Linked DNA regions of Drosophila melanogaster. The protein of the gene in region 1 interacts with the protein of each later gene in a pairwise test. Each region holds a gene or a part of one and is shown on either strand. Other genes may lie near its edges. The genes, in order: CG14658 and CG3819.

Region 1 (8,995 bases):
AAAAGATTTTTTTAAAGTTTTTAATATACCTAATATAGTAATAAATGATAGATATTCTAACTATTTATGCTGAAACAGATATTTCAAAATTACCATCAAAATATTAAATCGAGCAAAGAAGTTGAAAATGATAAATTCCTTTGTTGAACCACTCTAACACTCGCCCAGTGGTAAGCAACAAAAATTCATTTTGTTTAAGCCATCTGCTCTCTCCGCCCTCGAATGTGACAGCAAACCGAATTAAATAATGTGGAATTTAAAATTTAATGAAAGGCACTTTTCCCCTGGCCAGCCCCCAACCATCACGATCACCCCCCTCTTGACCCTTTACACCTCCCCCTCACCGTGTACGCAGCGGGCGGTACCTAGAAACAGAAATGCTGAAACAGTGAAATGTTTCACGCCTTCTTTAACAGAATTTATTAAAAAATATTAGAAAAGTAGTAGCCCAGAGAGATGAATCGCGCGCTCTATGCCTAACAGAACATGGTAACCAAAGCACACCCAAAATTGAAAATCGAGTACGAGCGCTATGTACAATTACAACAAAACATGCCAGGAGTCAAATCAAAGCCTAGCAAATCCGCGGGGTGTCAGCGCGGGGCTCACACATCTGTGATACTTTTCTGCTGCGAGAACTAACAACACACCGGCGACAAAAACGAAAATGCCGTAATAATTGTTGCAAAAAGCAATTAGACAAACTAATAAAGCCAAATCCGCTCGCAAAGGGTCTCAGGATGAATGTGTTGTTGGAAAGGGAGAGGGAGTGAGACAGCGAGGGCTCTAGGGTGCGAATGCGGACGGGAGAGCAAGCGGGATGCACGCATAGGCGCAGTATCAATGCCGAACCCCCAATGGCGATGGAAAAGCGAGATGGCGATAGTGTGGTGAACTGCGACGATGTGTTGATGGTGATGCATTCCAGTTGTCGTCGTTGTTGTTGTTTCATTCGGTTGATAGGTTTTGGTAATTTTAAATCATAGTGGAGCTATTAGAGCACTCATAATGGAATCTTCGATAACTTTCGGTTTACTCCACCAAATATCCATTTCATTGGATCTATACTCGTACTATTCATATTACACTTACAATACTTATATAGTAAAACAGTTTTTACAGGGTATGCGGTCCTATGCGAGAAATTGAATGGATCTTCTTTTTCTACCTGGGTCATTCTGGATTGTGCAACTACGCGGTGCAGAATAAGTAATAGGGGGAGCGGCGCAGAAGTCAATAGAGTGCAAATCCGATTCAAGTTTCGCCCCAAGGCAAATAAAAAAATTTTCTTCGCTGCCATCGTTAAGACTTACACACGAATATTATTGTAAAGTTCGTTTCAACAATCCTATGCCCATACCCCCTGCACCCTGCACACCACCCCATGCCATGAGCCCAAGTTCAACGTAATTGCGTTCAAAAGTGCGTGTACTTGAGAATTTTTTATACTTTTCCTTTATGACGGGAGTGTTACTCTATTGTTGTCGGCTTTTCGCCGTTGCAAATATGTTTTGAAAGCAAAGTCATGCTGGATCACAATCGCCGTGGAACTACATTCATATAGGTACATATATACATCCATATGTGTAGGCCCAGACCTTTCTAATGCTCAAAAATTAGTTTTCTGAAGTGGCTTACTTTGTATGGATAGGCCAAATTGATATGCCTCAGTTGGTAATGAAGTGAGTGGAAAGATATTTTGAAAGAGTTTTGGTTGTGGGGGGCCTAAAATGAAAGAGGGAAGGTGAATGAAATTAAAAGTATTTCAAAATGTTTCCTTATGTGCAAGATGGCCACAGGCCGAGTTGCACTTCAACAAGTACTTTCCACAAAGAAGAAGCGTTGGTCGATTTCCAAATATTAGGGCGATCGTAGAAACTGAGTGTGATCGGTTTTCTGCCCTGACAATAAATTTTATCTGGTCAGGCTTCTCTTGAGTTGAAACCAAATCGATTAATCGAAGGAACCCCCTGCCCTTAATGGCTTAAACTTAGGGGGGCCCTTTATGGCTTATAAAATACTTTGTGGACTGTTATCAAATATCGCCATATCACCAATTCCTTAAAGGTTGATAAAAATAGCCTCAAACTTACTCCAAAATATAGCTTTCAATTTCTCGGTTGCATTACATTGACACTTCATTCCGTAAAACGTTGTAATGCAAGTCGGTCTGCTTATTTGACCCTACGAATAACCCACCTTCGCTCCCCAATTACAAGCAATAATAATTTTAATTAAATGCACCGAGCCCAAGGCAGCTGACCAAAACAAAGGCAAGCAAACAAAGAGACAACCCAGCCATGGAAATGAATCCCGAAATGAGTTGCAAACAAATTACGCCGCAGAAATGGGCTCCAGCGGTGACAAATTACAAGGAAACAACCCGGTGGCGATGAGAAATGACTACAGGCAGGCGGGCGGAGGAGCGCAGTGGTGGATGCCAAACAAGGACGGAGACAGCCGAGCGGCGTGCGAGCGGGAAAGCGACTTACAATCAGTGCTGCCAACTCAGCTCATTTCGTACTGTGAGCAACCGACTTGACTGCCAAACAAAGTAAGTATAGCATTTTCCAAAGGCCATATAGGGGGCTTGTGACTTACATGTATATTTATAATGGATTTCGTTGAATTTTGTCAATAAATAATGCCATCACTTTCCTGTTACCAAAAAAGGAGAGGTGGTGAATTTTAACCACCATTTGGCCCATGGTCATTGTTTTCCCAGCATTATGTTTAGAATACCAGGTTGCATTTAAGTTCGCCACCTTTTATTGCATAATTGCGTATTGTAAATTGTGAATTGTGAATGAAAACCAGCTGTCTTCCGAATTCCGCTAAGGCCTCTGTGCACCTTTTGGCACGCGTAGTTCTGCCCACGTCAGGGCTCCATCAAACTGTTTCACTTCCGGAGCCGCTAAAACTAAAGCGAGCCAATGCAGTTCGTACTTGACCTATTGGTCGCCCCCGCTGACTTGGGCCGCATGCCGCGCTTTTCACATTTCCAGTTTCTCCACTTCGGGTTGCTTGGGTTTTATACACAGATTTCCATCTGTTTGTATTTCCTCCCAATTTGCGACCCTTGTCGATGGGCGGTTTGTTGTCCGTTGTCTGTGCCATTTGTGTTATATGTGTTTTGTCCATTAGCAGCACTTTTGTCGGGTTTTTGTTCAATTAGCAGTTGGCAATTTCATAAATATGTAGTTTTCACATCGTAACGAAGGAATACTCCAATAATCACATGCAACCAAATTATATTACTTCTTAAAAAATCTATAATAAACGACACAATTAGTTATACAGCTGCGTTTAAAATAATAGCACTATTGCAGGTGGAAAGTTCATTTTCAAAAAAAAATTATTAAATGTTTATATTTTTTAAAGTCAGATTGCATGAATAATAAAACAAAAAAAAAAAAAAAATAAAAACAAAACAACCTTAATGCGTGCAGCCCAAGAAAAGTCCCGCTTTTGACTGTTAAGCATGTGGCAAAGCGAATAGAATATGCCAAGATTCCCAAGGACTGGCCTGTGGAGAAGTGGCGCAACATTTTGTGGTCAGATGAGACCAAAATTGTGTTGTTTGTGTTGTCTTGGTCTTATGTTCGGCGTCCTCCACGAACTGAATATAATCCTCGCTTCACCTTTAAGGCGGTAAAGTACGGGGGATCAAACACAATGGTACGGGCGTGCTTTTCGTACTATGGAGTAGGTCCGATCCATTAGATTCAAGGCATCATGGATCAGGACATTTACACAGATATCCTGGAAAATGTGATGCTGTCATATGCCGAGGATGAAATGCCGTTGGTTTGAATATTTCAACAGGATAACGACCCAAAACACACGAGGAAGAACGCTCGAAAGTGGTTAGAGCAGAAATCGATCCGAGGAATGAACTGGCCTGCTCAGTCACCCGACTTGAATCCAATCGAAAACCTTTGGGCGGACGTGAAAAAAAGGTCTCTGAAGCCAAACCCAATAATAACGATGATCTTTGGGGTCTGGTCAAGGATCCATGGAGCAAAACTACTCAATAACGATGCCAGGACTTGGTGGACTCCATGCCAGGACGATGCGCGGCTGTCATTGCCAACAAAGGTCACGCAACCAAATATTAAGATTCTTTAAACATAGTTCTTAAGATATAATTCATTTGTTGAATTATTTTTTTATTTTTTTTTGGTTAGTTTTAGCAAACTACGAGAAACAGTGCTATTTTTGTTACCGCCTAAATTTGAACTTTTTTTTTGTTTTACCAATTATTTTTAAAATATCCATTACATCTGTTATTAATTTTTTTATTTCGATTGAAAATCATTGTAGTATTTAAGTTTAGTGAGTAAAAGTATGAAAAAATGTCAGAAAATAGAGAAACGTTGAGACAAACACGAAATGTGCTTATGGTGCCATTATTGTTACCGCAACTGTATGTACACCAGGGGTACGAAAATTAAGAAAAAAATATATATCTAATTTCATGTTTTTATAATCTTGCAAATACATATATTTAATGAGTATTAATAGATTCTTTGATATAACAATGCCCGTATGTCTGTCCGTTCTATTCTACGCAAACTAGCCTATCAATTTTAAAGCTATCCGCAAAAATATATATTCCATAGTACATATATATATAGTATACCACAAAAAGAGAGAATGCTATAGTCGACTTGCCCGATTATCATATACCCGTTACTCAGCTAGTGAAAATGCGATCGCGAAATTTCATACTTTTTCTAGGATATCAATAGATTTTGGTGAATAAAATGAGAAATAGAATTGTTCAAATTGTTGTATTTGAGGGCGTTAGAGTGGGCTGGCAACAAGTTTTTTCGATAGAATTTTCGATCGATAGAAATTTTCAAAGAAAGATTTCCAAAAGAGTCAAAACGCGCTGAAATTGAGCTTTTTGGTAATGTAAATCATTCCATACTTGATATTTCCTTCACCTTTAATCGGTTTCTTCGAAATCTGATTGATGTTATTATGTAGAAATGCTATATTTTCTAAGCAAGACAGACAGCAACAAAAAAAATCAAGAAAATGTCGGAAAAGAAATATTGGGAGCCGGCAAAGGCTTTCCGCCCAAAAAACGAGAGGGCGAAAGTAAGTATCTGGCACCAGTCATTCACACCGACGTACGAGCAGGAGGAGCCCCAAATGGCACTGCTTCTATCCTGGCACTACGGTCGCCAGTGGATGGAGGAGCGTGATATACACAGGATGGAGACCAAGTTGAAGATAAAGAAGGAGGCCAACTTCATTCCACCCAACTATACCAGTTGGCTTGAGAAGCGGAGGGCCATAAAGACTAAGCAACAGCTGATCAGATCTTGACGTTTTATTTGTGTTCATTAAGTTGTCCAGTTTTTGAATATGAAATTTTGTAAAAATTGTTAATTGTCTTCACGTTCTGGCTTTTTTATAAAATGTGTATCTAAATGAATAAAGATAATACAAAAATAGTATGTAATGTATAGATTTTAAACGTAATAATAATAATAGGTAATCAATTAATTTAATGCTATATCTGCATGGTGCGACATCTGTTGGAGTAAAGCGAAAGCTGCTGATGGGTTTTGTTGTGCTAATGATAAATCTAATCTAAATCGGAAAATTCCATAGAAAGCGGTGAAGTCCTTTAATTACCTTTCATTAAAGTAACTAATTGACTAAGTTAAAATTTGAATGTACAATTGTTTGTACAACCGTATTGGAACATTGGAAAATTTTTCATAATCAAGTAGCTCTTGACCCAGCAGACACAAAGCCTCAGTCCCAGACAGACTCCGTATCAAATCACACAGCACCGACACGACAAGCATATAATTCCACTCAATAATGATTTCAAAGATCAAGATCTGGAGCCGCTCGCCACTGATTCCGGCTAGGGATCACGGTTCAGCGATCCTTCCGCCGGCAGATCGGCCAGATCCCATTCCGGAGCTGTGCGAGGAAAGGCCGGTGATGGGTTGGCTGCTCGGCTGGGAGTACGGGAGGAAGTGGCTGGAGAGGCGTGAGGAGATCCAGAGGCACCGCAACATGGTCAGCAAGTTCGGCAGGATCCCGGCGGACTTCAGCTGGTGGCTCAACCAGCGCAGGCCCCTCTATGTGCGCCAACAGCGATTCCGGAGCAAGGCCGGACCTCGTGCCCGGAAACAGATAACGGCCTTCGAGATGGCCAAGCGGAGGCGTGAGGAGCAGAACCGCAAGCTATTGGAGAGCCAGCCCAAAAACCAGTAAAACACACACTCAAAATGTCCAACATGCCAATCGAAGGGTAAACTCTGTCAAAATTGCTAAGCCAAACAACTGTATATGTACGAGTACAACATTGCAATCGTTGTACAAAGAACTCCCTATGATGATGCGCCAATAAACACGGTTAGAATGCTTAATTCTTTTTGGTTTGATGTGGGGTGATTTGCCATTACCAATATTGCCATTATATGCTGAATAGGTTTTGGTACATCTCAAGTTGATCTGAAAGTACATATGATCAAGTATGGGTAAGGAAATACATTACATCCTTATATACAATATACAATACAAGTTCGTATCGTTCTTCGGTTCAATTACAGGCAAAAAGTGATTTTGACCCCTATAAAAGTACAAAGCTGTTAAAAATAAAAAACAACATTTGATTCCATTGGTGCGCAATCAACTGCGATACCAAACCGCATTCGTTCTTAGAATCGATTTTCGGCTATGTCAGTAGGCCTTTATTGTATAGTGTTTTTTGTTATCCTGTTGTCCTTGCGCTTGCAGGACGAAGTCGCGACGTAGGCTCCGAAAAAACAAAAGCGCAGCATCCCAGAAACCTTCGCCTCAGCCATTTCAGCTTTTGATTGGACTTCCCCCGGGGAAATGTCAGCCCCGTAGAACAATGGATCATACATACTATATGAGAGCCGTCATCATCGTCATTATCGTCATCATCTCCGTCGCTAAAGTTTTCCGTAATCGTCATCAGGGGATGGATAAGTGAACAATTGGCCTTGCCCGACCCAAGGCCCGTGGATATATTTGTGTGCAGTTGTACATACTCTTTATTTGCATTTCCGGCTCATTGCGCCTAATTGCGCGAAAATCTGGCTTTGGAGATCAACCTTATTGTGTGTTCTTGGTCGCTTTTTAGTCAAATCCTTTGTGTTTCCCTTTTGGCGCGAAAAACGCGAAATAATGCGAAAATAAACGAATTTTTAAGGGGTGTTTCCTTTGCCCACAGTGAATTGCGCATTTAAGTTCGCCTTTGTTTAACCTATCGGACTTTTTTTTGCCAAGCTAACTTTTACAGTTTGTAAACTTTGCGATCACCGAAAAGTGTCAGTGTTGATTTTATTTTCGGGACACGCACCTTTTTTCTTACGTCTAAAAAGTCTAGGAAACTGGGACGCCTTTCCTGAGAATCGGAAAAAATTATCGATAGACATTTGCAACCTGACAATAGTTTGATCTCGATCTAAGTATGCCGAGAGTCGATCTAGGCCAGATTTTCATATAGAAAATGCTCAAATCAATATCGTTGAGGACGCGTTATTTATTTATCGGTGCGAAGTTATTGAAGAACGAAATACTGCACTTTTATCAATACACCACTTTCTCTCATGTGCCATTTACCATAGTGTCGGTGAATTTCTCCAGTAACTTTCTACAATAGTAAAATGAATAAAATTTAATTATCCAATTATTCGGTTACTTATGGATCGCTCTCTGTTTAATAACCATATATTTTCTTCGTTGATTATACCCCATTAATTTTGCTCGAGTTTCCTCTTCCTTCCCGCATCGATTCGACATTTGCCTCGTGTGTTTTCAACATTTTTGTTCAATTTCTCTACATTTTCAAGCAGCAAGAACCGAGAAAAATGCTTCATACTGTGCTGCAGTTTTCTGCGCATAAATTAATGGAATAGAATAATGTTCATGATGATGGTTTCATACGGAGTAGAATGAAGCTAGCTGAAAGAAAGGGCTGGGAAATGTATGGTACAACATTAAGTAAGTGGCATGATTTGGAATGGGAAAAATATAATGGAAATCATGTGCAAATGGGCAAGAGCAAAAGTTCGTTGGCTAATCAAGTGAGTTGTGTGTTTTCCACGCCAAAGGCAAGGCAAAACTGAAGGAATTTACGGCTTTTTTTCTAGCTGTTAAAAAATAAATACCTTTTAAAACTTAAGTCTATTAATACTTGTCTACTGGTAAGAAACCGGATGCTGCAAACGAACTGACATCAAATTCACTTCCAGATGATTAGTGTCGTTTTTGTTATGTGACATAGAAACAGAATGTCACATAAAAACGTATTACCAATTTCGATAAGGATGTACTTCAAATTTCATCAAATAGCATTGGAACATATGGAACCCAATAGGATTATAATCGACATGAGCTACATGCATAACTGACTATCATCTCCCGGCTGAGAAATAGAAATGAAATAAAGTTTTACTCTAATTTTGCAGGAAGAACGCAAACGAAATAACAATTGCATTTGCGGTCGAATGGCCAATGGAAAACCGCAAAAACTAATTACAACGTCAAAACAGCCACGGATAAAAACAAAATGGCCGTCGGCTGAAGCGGAAATGAGCTTTGCCCGCGTGTGAGTGTGTGTGTGTGTGTGACCACAGAACAGATGCTGATTATGGAGATAATTAATACGGCTAATTAAACAGGCAAATGCAATTCAGAAATTGCACTGGCAGGGTAAAGGGAGCGGAAAGAGTTGGAAAACAAGCGAAATTTCAACGGCTCCTGCCACATAAAAGCCAATTAATTATTTTTATGGCTACTCCGGGCCGAGAGCCAACTCCACCAACGGAAGCCACCAGCCGACGTCTTGGCCCTCTCGTTTTCCCTGCGCCCGGCATAATAAAAAATTATGGCCTGCGATTTGGCTCACTCGAAACGAAGCAAAAGCAACCGAAAAACCGAATACTCTGTGCGCCACTGACCAGACCAAGAACCCCCCCCCCCCTCCTCATCCCTT
Region 2 (9,968 bases), on another chromosome or scaffold:
CTAAGTTTCAGTAGCAAAAAGGTGTGTTAAATGAATATCTAAACTTGGCTGAATCCAAGTTTTGTCACACAACCACTTACCAATAAAGCCGCATACAACAGATGCATCCAGATATTGGCTTGTATAAATGCTCCAGCCATTCTGAGTCTTCTCTTATTTTTTGGATTTTCGAAGCTCCCATCAACCTTATTGGTGAGGATTGACCTCCTAAACTGGGAAAGGCTGTGTATCTAGGGGAAAATCATCTAAAATTAAGTTTCTGAATCTTCGTCACCTACCGCTCCGTATAGACTAAATATGAGGACGAACCAATAATATATAGGATAAGAGGGTATGCCTTCACTCAGGTATTTCGCAAAGCAGCGCCTCACAATCCTGAATTTCCTGGATTCCAATAAACTAAAGAAACCTGATCTATCCCGGCAGGCATCTTCAATCACTTCGTAGGAACTTCCCAGAGAACATAGGCGGTATTTAACTGACATAAGTTTAATCATACTTCAAATTACGCGATCGAAAATCAGTATTCGTAAAAAAGCAATATGTGATCTCACACGAAATTTCGGAAATATTTTGAGCATTGACACGTATTGAAAATTGATACAAAGCAAGGTTTCAGGCTGTACGATGTCTTCCCATTTAGCGTACGCATCAGTCAATAACAATAGGGCCCAATTCCCTTTGCGAACATCCCTCCCATGGCTTAATCGATATGTGTAATAAATAATTTAATTACCAGCTAAGTCCATTAGTCCATTTACGCAGCATAAAAATGTTAGCTCATGTTTTTCTAGGGAAAAAGTGCGAGTGTGTGCGAATGTATCTGCGGAGGGGAATTTTATCTAATGGATATTTATGGTACCCAATTTGTTGCATTCCCTTTTGAACAGGTGCTGGCCATGTGGGGAGTGCTCCGTTTCTACAACTTGGTTCGTTCTGGAATCACATGGCGCGGACCAGAGGTAGGTCATTTAACAAATAAATATGAGTGGACAATATATCAAGTTACAATAATATTTATAATTTAATTACATTTTTTAATGGGTATTTTTATGCAAAGGCATTTAAAATTTATGATTTTTTCCAAGGAGCAATATTTTGCCACTACTTAGTGGAAAATGTTATTAGAATATTATTATGCTATTTAATTTTCCTTTAGTTAATTAAGGTTTTATCGTTCCTAGTAAGGGTATTTATACCAGAAATAAACGAGTCTTAATTCATTAGCGTAATCATTTGATATCCCCTTTCCCTTTAACCATTCTGTCTGCAGGCCAAGACAGCCATCTTTGCGCCGATGTACAAGAGTGTTACTACGAATAAGCCGCACACATACACCTACAGCAAGCGGTCAAGGCGCCGCCATAGCATCGATTCGACTTCCGGCGGATGCTGCGCCATCTTCGACTTTGACTTCGAGTACGACGATGATAACGACGACGACGACGATGAGGCTGCCTATGGCGATGGTCTGGATACGGAGGACGAAGTGGGCTACGACTACGATGATTACTACGATTACTACGACGACGACGAGCTGGCGGAGCAGCAGCACTTGGGGCTGCAACAGGACGATGGTGACTGTAGCATGTTGGGCGCTGGCAGGGCAACCAGATCGCGCTCCAAGCCAAGATCCGCTGTGGTCAAGGTCAAGGGTCAGCGGAGCGGAAGTCGCCGCACCAACAACAACATCCGCAGCGTGCTGATCAACAAGCGGCACAACAAGTACAAAATCGCGCGGCCCCAAACGCAGCTGGAGGTCATCAACGAGTCGGAGAAGAGCGCGGGGAGCGGCAGCGATGAGAATGATTCACTTTTGGTGGCCTATGACAGCAGTTCGTCGCTGGCGTCAGTTTGACATTGGCCGCCATGCAAATCGGGAACCGGAAATGGAAATGCAGCCGTTGGGACAACGGGAAGTGATAGAGCCAGTGGAACAAATAGCGGTGGAAAGTGCCATAACAGCGCCTGCAACTGCAACTGCAATGGCGGCAACAACACCGGAAGCGGAAGTGAAACCGACGACGACGACGGCGATCCTGACGAGAGCCAGCATCTGGAACCTGAGTGGCCGAAGAGCTACCGCCGCGGTGGTCAATGTTGTGGTCAGCGTCAACGCCGACGTCCACTGCGACGCGTCTACTGCGCTGTGAATCTGTCCATCATGGGCCTCCTGGTGGCCGTGGAGATCTACGCCCAGATTGCCATATTCCTGTAGATCAAAACACCTCTCTCTCTCTCTCTCTCTTAATAAAAATGGGTTTTCCCATGGCCAAAATCATATAATATAATTCCAAGCGCCGTTTTTGGTCCACAAGGTACATTACAGTCAACAGAACTTGAAACATACTGTCTCAATGTCAGCAGACACTGCAGCTTTAAATGTAAATAATTTACATACAATATCTTCAAGTAACTAAAACACAGATCTTTTCTCACTCAAGCTACAGCTTTCACAATATTGCGAAAACTCAAATGCTATAATCTATGCCATGGCCATATAAAGTTTTACGTTCTATATAATTTAAAGTAACCAAAAATATAAAGAACAATATCCATAAAAAAAGAACATTTTCTTTTTTTAAGATTTCTGCTAAATCATATTTTAAAAATTTCAAACATTCTAATCAGCTTAAAAACCTTAAGCCTCTTACAAAATGTAACAAATCTAATGTAAATACTTCATAGCAAAATGGTCCGTATTAATAAGAACAATAATAGAAATTAATCTAAATGTGTAAAATTTAAAAGGCGTAGTGCATATCCAGAATTAAATAAATAAACACAATAGCTCTCCAAGAGATACCATTTTTATGTTAATAACCCAGTAATAAGTTAACAGATAAAAGACATTTTATTGCGCAGCCCAAATAAAAGCTTTAAAATAATTAAGCATAATAATAATCGCATGTCTACCCAAAACCAATAAAATAGCCCTAACAAAAGTAACAGAAACAATAAGAGTACATATTAAAGAAAATAAACAATGAAAGATTTAAATGATTGCAAAGTGCTAAGGAAATTACTTTGTAAATACTTCCAGCTATCTCAAGTTGATGTCAGTGACGTACAAAAATTGAAAAAGCAAAATAAACCATATCTATAAATGTTGTATATATAGTAAGTAATCTTAAGTACAGCTGCGCCAAAAAAAAAAGAACACTAGACAGCCAGTTTAAAACTAACCAATAAATGTGAGTTGATGTATACCTTACGATAAAACCATAATAAACCCTTGATATTTGTGAAAAAGTTCAGCGCCTTCATTATTGGGCGATAACCAAACGTGCTGAACACGTGAAAGAGAAAGAAGCTCCACACGGATCGCAGCCATTTAATTTGGCCCACACTCGGGAATACGCCTAATCATGGGGGCCAAAACTAATTAAATGATAATGCCGGCGGTGGGAAGTTAGCAGCCGAATCTGGGGACACGTGAAGCAATCAAAGCATCAGCAAGTGCCGGTATCAACCCGCAAACATGGTCGCAATCAGGGGAATCTAATCAATCATCGGACATCCAGTTGGTTTAAAAGCACCCGGCCTTCCCGAGGTCCAAATCAGTTGCGAAACATGAAGTGCCTAGTGTTGATTGCCTTCAGTGGCCTCTTCTTGGCCAGTGCCCAGGCCCGAATCCTTCCCGCGGAGGATCTCCCCTGGGAGTTGCCAGAAGTTCCGGTAGCGGTCAACGAGATTGAACCCAGAGCAGGTGACTACTAAAACGTAATTAAACTCATTCTTTCATTTTTGGACATTTAAAAAATTTAAAAAAATCTTTAAAAATTTAAAGACCGATAAACTTGTTTAATCAAAACTACTTACAATGGCATAAATTCTATTTTACCAATAACAGATATTCAATGGGAATGGGAAATATTCTCTTAATTAAAATACTGATTTAATTACAATATAATTTACAATACCTTCTACATTTATAAATATAATTGAAAATATTCTTTATCGTAGCTGGTTGTTCAATTAAGATCCGCAGCTCTGAGCTGAAGGATCCCCAGCCTCTGCTGATTAAATCGGACACCTCTGAAATCGTTGGATTCTCGGACACCGGCTATGTGGACGTGGACAAGGACAAGACCATCGAATTCCACTGCACCAGCAGCCTGGCTTCCCCTCTGTCTGGAAAATCCGTGACCGCCAAGTGCGTGGGTGGCACCACCTTCAAGATTGACGATAAGGAGCACGATCTGTCCGCCATCAAGTGCACATCGTGGCCAGTTTTTGTGGGCAAGAAGTCCGGATCCAGCTGCAATGGTGGCACCACGCTGATCAAGGTGGGCTTTGAGCTCTCCGGCTCACGATTCGCAACGCAGTACGAGGTATGCTTCAACGAGGACGAGGAGGTGACCAGGTACGTCTATCATCGCCTGGAACCGGGAAACAACTACTATGCCACCGGAGTGGATCGCATTACATTTGGAGCCGGCGGCTATTTCGCGGGTAAGAATGTGGACAAGCTATACACGCAGGCTGTTCAGAAGGAGACCATCGACAAGGAGCTGGACATGGATTCATCCCGTTTCTTTGACTCGGCCAAGAACATCTTCCTGGCCCGTGGTCACATGGGTGCCAAGGCTGACTTCGTATTTGCCCCGGAGCAGAGGGCCACCTTCCTGTTCATCAACGCTGCTCCTCAGTGGCAGACCTTCAATGCTGGTAACTGGGCTCGCGTGGAGGACGGAGTTCGTGCCTGGGTGGCCAAGGAGAACAAGCACGTGGAGTGCTGGACGGGAGTCTGGGGTGTTACCACGCTGCCCAACAAGAATGGGGAACAGAGGCAACTCTATTTGTCCCACGATAACAACGGCAACGGTCTGATTCCAGTTCCCAAGCTATACTTCCGAGTGGTAATCGAACCATCCACCAAGAAGGGCATCGTTCTGATCGGCGTCAACAATCCCCATTTGAGTTTGGAGGAGATCAAGCGGGACTACATCCTGTGCACGGACGTCAGCGACAGGATCAACTGGATCAGCTGGAAGAAGACGGACATCACCGCCGGTTACTCCTACGCCTGCGAGGTTCCGGAGTTCCGCAAGAAGGTGACGCATCTGCCCGAGTTCTCCGTCAGCGGACTGTTGGTCTAAACTGGTTATGTTTGAAATAATAAATAATACCTTTACATCGAAACACTTTGATTTGTTTTTAAAACATCTGCAACAAGGAAACTTTTGAGAAAATACTGGAGAAATAAATAATTTGAGAAAAAAATGGAAAAAATATGAATGAATTCGTTTATATTTTTAAGATTGCATACGATAAATCCATTACAACCATTTTCCATTTTGAGTAGATTGGCGAAATCAAATAATGCATTTGTTACCTGTCAAAAAATATTTAAAATTCTCCAATGTTGCTACTGAAATATGGAGTATCTAGGAAAATCTTCAGTTTCCTACTGTTCCTCTTGTTGCTTCTGCCGATCCTTGACGCCGGTGATCCGATTGGCAGCCACTTCGTCCGCCGGCGGGCTAAACGCCTTTCCAGTCCCTATTTCGACAAGGAAAAAACGTTGGTTCTGGCCAAATATGTAGTCTCGATTCGATCCCGAAGACCCCACAAGTTATTTGGCGACAATCACTTCTGCGGTGGCGTGATCATATCGAGAACCTACATCCTCACCTCCGCCCACTGCGCCATGGAGTAGGTATAGAAAAGATCAATATATAATTGACTGTTATGTCCTTTAATCAATGCAAAAGTAAGCGCAAGATCGTACATCGCAGTCGGGTGTTGGTGGTTGTGGCTGGAACCACAAATCGTCTGAAATCCCGCAAAGGACTCTCTTTAAACATGGAGGTGAAGAAGATCTTTGTCCCAGACAAGTTCACAGTATTCAATACGAACAACATTGCGCTGATGATGCTGGCCAAAAAACTACCCTTGGACAATCCGCTTGTGGGTGTGATCAATCTGCCTACGGCTGACCCAGAACCGGGTTTGAACTACACGGTGCTGGGCTGGGGAAGGATCTTCAAGGTAAGTTGTGGTAGTTACGAACTATAAGTAGGTTTATTATTAACTATAGGGCGGTCCCCTGGCCTCGGACATCCTGCACATTGACGTGGAGCTATTGCCCCGGGATATCTGTGAGAAGAAAGTCCACATCTTCAAGGAGGAGATGATGTGCGCCGGAAATCTGAACAACACCATGGACGAGAATCCCTGTGCCGGTGACACCGGAAGCCCACTGATTTTCAACGAAACAGTCTTTGGTGTGGTTAGCTACCGAGTAGGCTGTGGATCTAAAACTTTGCCCTCCATTTATACCAACGTCTACATGCATATGGACTGGATTAATGGCATTATGAACAATAATGAAGCGAACCGATTGTGTTACTCTCCCAACTATCTATTCACCACCATTGGTATAATCATTGGAAATAAAATTCTGAAAAGTTGGGGATTTTATTTGATCACCATTTAAACGAGGAGACCTCCCTTGGCGGTCAAAGCGGGCAGGTGCTTCACGGTCTTCAGGAAATCGGCCACCTCGCAAGCATAGGACCAACCGGCCTTGATGTCTGTAGTCTTCCAGTTGATGTAGGTCACCTGATCGCTGACATCGTCACAGATGACATAGTCGCGCTTGATCTGCTCCTCGGTGAGATGGGGATTGTTGACGCCCACAAAGACAATGCCCCTGTGGGAGGAGGGATCGATGACAACGCGGAAGTAGAGCTTCGGCACGGGGATCAGGCCATTGTTGTTGTCATCCTTGGCCAGATAAAGCGGCGTCTCCACACCGTCCTTGTTGGGCAGAGTGGTCACGCCGTAGACACCGGTATAGCAGTTCACGTTCAGCTTGTTCTTGGAGACCCAGGCCCTCAGACCATCCTCCACACGAGCCCAGTTTCCGGCATTGAAGGTCTGCCACTGAGGAGCGGCGTTAATAAACAGGAAGGTTGCCCTCTGCTCGGGAGCGTAGTCGAAATCAGCCTTGGCACCCAGGTGACCACGTGCCAGGTAGACATTGCTGCTACTATCGAAGTACTTTTCCGCATCTCCGCCCAGTTCATTGTTGATGGTCTCCAGCTGGGTGGCTTGGGTGTACAGTTTGTCCACGTTCTTTCCATCAAAGAAGCCAGCCGTTTGGAAGGTAATTCTAGCCACTCCGGTCTCGTAGTAGTTGCTTCCGGGCTCCAACTTGTGGCGAGTGTATCGGGTCACTTCCTCCTCTTCGTTGAAGCAAATCTGCATCTGCTCGGCAAACCTCGATGAGGTGATCTCGAAACCTACGCGGATCACAATGCCACCGTTGCAGGTGGCTCCGGACTTAACAGCCTTGAATCCCGGCCAGGATTTACAGTACAGGTCCTTGAACTCGAAGTTAGATCCGCCCACGCTGAAGGTGGTTCCACTCACACAACTGGCGGTAAGCAGATTCTCCGAATGAGTGTTGAATCCTGAGGGACACCACAGCTGCAATGAGCCGCCCGACTCGAATTCCATGACACCGACGTCGGAAAAGGGATAAAAGTCCTCGGAATCGGTTTTCAGGTACACTGGCTCGGGACTGGGCAATCCTCCGCGAATAGTAACACTGCAGGCTGAAAAAACATATTAGTTGCCAAATTTATTTAAATTTTACAACTGAAATAATTTACTTGGTTGGAAGAAAGGACTCGCAGTCAATAGAAATTATTTATCTATCTATTTTGGGCTCTTTAAATTAATCTTTAGAATCCTAATATTTATATTTTCTATCTTTTATAGTTCCCGAGATCTCTAAGTTAATAAAGTAAGTACACGTAACTATCTATCCTGATCAAGACTATATATATATAAAATCATTTTAACTAGGGGTTAAATATACATATATACACAAATTCAAAAATTGTACGAACTTGAAAATAATGCATTTCAGTAGTATTATATGATGCAATTAAATTAAATCGACCTACCTCCTGCACGACCCACGGGCTGAGGTGGCGCCACAGCAATCCGTTCGAAGATCCCGTCATCCTCGACCACTGGAGGAAGCTCCACCTCCGGACAGGGAACTCGAGCCCAGGCAGCCGGAGCCGCCAGCAGGCCAACTACCAGCAATGAGAATCGGATGCACTTCATTTTAGATTTAACAAACAAACGGCCTTTGAGGCATCTTTAAATAGCCCACGACCATATCGCGCAAATTAATGAAAAATAGTTAATGAAACGAATCTCGCCATTCTGACCATTATCTCTGCAAAACAATGAAATATTGGTCTTATCTATTCACGTGAAGTGTCGAAGTGTGCGGATTTTTACGGTCCTACGTAGACCCATTCATTCGAGCTTAATTGGTTTGAGACACTTAGTGCTTTTTTGGACAAGTGGGAAAGTTATGGGAATTACCCAAACAATGCAGATAATTTGTAGCTACAAAAATAGAACGTGTTTTTTAGGCGTTTAGAACTTAAAGTATATCTTTGGCGTACTTCTGGTATTACATTTCATATCTTATCCAAAGATTTGTAGTGCGTATTTTTATGACTTACACAAGGTACAATCGCTTAATTACTTCTGAAACATATTTGCTTTCAAGAATGTGTAGGTATTAAGATTTCCGATACATATTTTTTTATTTTACCATGTATTTTTATTCAAATATGATACACATTATATGTAATACAGTTCATTTCCAATCTAGTTATTACATTTCCACAAATCAACAGTCATTTATGATTGGCCATCTAAACTAGCAGTTGATGAGCTACGCAGACCTTCGGACGCCTAATTAAGTTATTTAATCAGCAGTCAAGGCGAGTGCTTTCCCTCAGGTTCTCGTTTCACTTAGCAATAATTTATAATCAACAAGTAATTAATGCTTATGGCCGCAGCAGGATTCGAATTGCTGGTAGCGGTTGGAATTTCCTAGGCCTTTCAAGGATATCGAGAAATTTGAACGTATGAATAGCTGGGCTGGTGGCTGGTAGACTGGGCAAAAAGCCTCAAAAGAGCCAAGGAATGTGCTCGTTAATCATTATCTGGCGCCATCTAGCGGCTGCTTCCCGCCCTCTGAGGTCATTTATCTATATCGAATCAATTAGCGAACACCTTGAAGCCTTCGTTGCTGAATATGGTGAAAAGGCATGGCAACCACGTTGCTCCCTTTGTTAGGATTTCCTTTCGTCCTTGCTACGTGCCAATTTGGCTCGTTTTGTTCGCTCATTCGTAAATCTAAACAAATCATCAATTTTCACAAATTATACGCGATACCCATCTGCGCCGTCCGGGTTTTCTGGCTGTTTCTCCGTATCCGTCCAAGTTACCGTTTCCGGCTGAAGGTCCTTTCTCCTTGGGATTGGGGCCTAATTGCCCGACTATCTGCTTTCGCTGCTTTTCGTGCCGTGCGACGCTGTTCATTTTACATTCCATTAATTAATGTCAATGGCCGACGAACTTTGACATATTGAGCTTTATTTTATATCCCTCTTGATGTCCCCGATGGGGATTTTGGGGGGTTTGGCTAATGGAGCGTTTACTGTTGGATAAGTGTTTGCTTGATTGAGTTCGGTGCGCAATTTATGAAATTGTAGCTTTTAAAATAATATACCTGAAAATCATATAGGCACTTACATTCATAATTGCATAATTAGTAAATCAATTCAAAAAATAAATTTCATAAAATTATTAAGCCCTTCATCTCATTCTGCAAATCAAATTGGTTTCTTTTTGTTTCAACATTTCAACGAGGGCTTCGCATAGATTTCTCTTTCTTTCCGCACGTCATAAATTATCGTGCCAAATTTATGAGTTTCCAATCAATATTAATTGCCCGAGGTATTCTTTAGAGGCCATTTCATTTGCCACCTGACACAGGAAGAAACCATTTAACTTGAATCGCTTTCACCACACACACACACACGATTCCATCCCATCGCACGACAAACAGGCATAAAATGCTTAAATGAAAATCGAAAATCGAATAAAAAAGCACACAATTTAATCCGAATTTTACTCGATGTGGC

What was found.
Region 2: the proteins of CG14658 (region 1) and CG3819 interact in a two-hybrid assay, tested with the Drosophila melanogaster proteins (one large-scale study listed by BioGRID).

Annotation. Positions count from the first base shown.
Region 1 is NT_033777.3:4,827,312-4,836,306, reverse strand, and holds CG14658 (uncharacterized protein), read left to right. Parts: upstream 1-5,793; 5' UTR 5,794-5,841; coding exon 5,842-6,243; 3' UTR 6,244-6,396; downstream 6,397-8,995. Other genes in the region: CG14659 (uncharacterized protein), read left to right, coding at 5,044-5,337.
Region 2 is NT_037436.4:18,915,698-18,925,665, reverse strand, and holds CG3819 (uncharacterized protein), read left to right. Parts: upstream 1-3,557; 5' UTR 3,558-3,573; coding exon 3,574-3,709; intron 3,710-3,966; coding exon 3,967-5,102; 3' UTR 5,103-5,236; downstream 5,237-9,968. Other genes in the region: CG43049 (uncharacterized protein), read right to left, coding at 81-230, 279-497; CG32204 (uncharacterized protein), read left to right, coding at 891-962, 1,274-1,858; CG18223 (uncharacterized protein), read left to right, coding at 5,366-5,658, 5,718-5,994, 6,044-6,442; CG6839 (uncharacterized protein), read right to left, coding at 6,439-7,565, 7,920-8,085.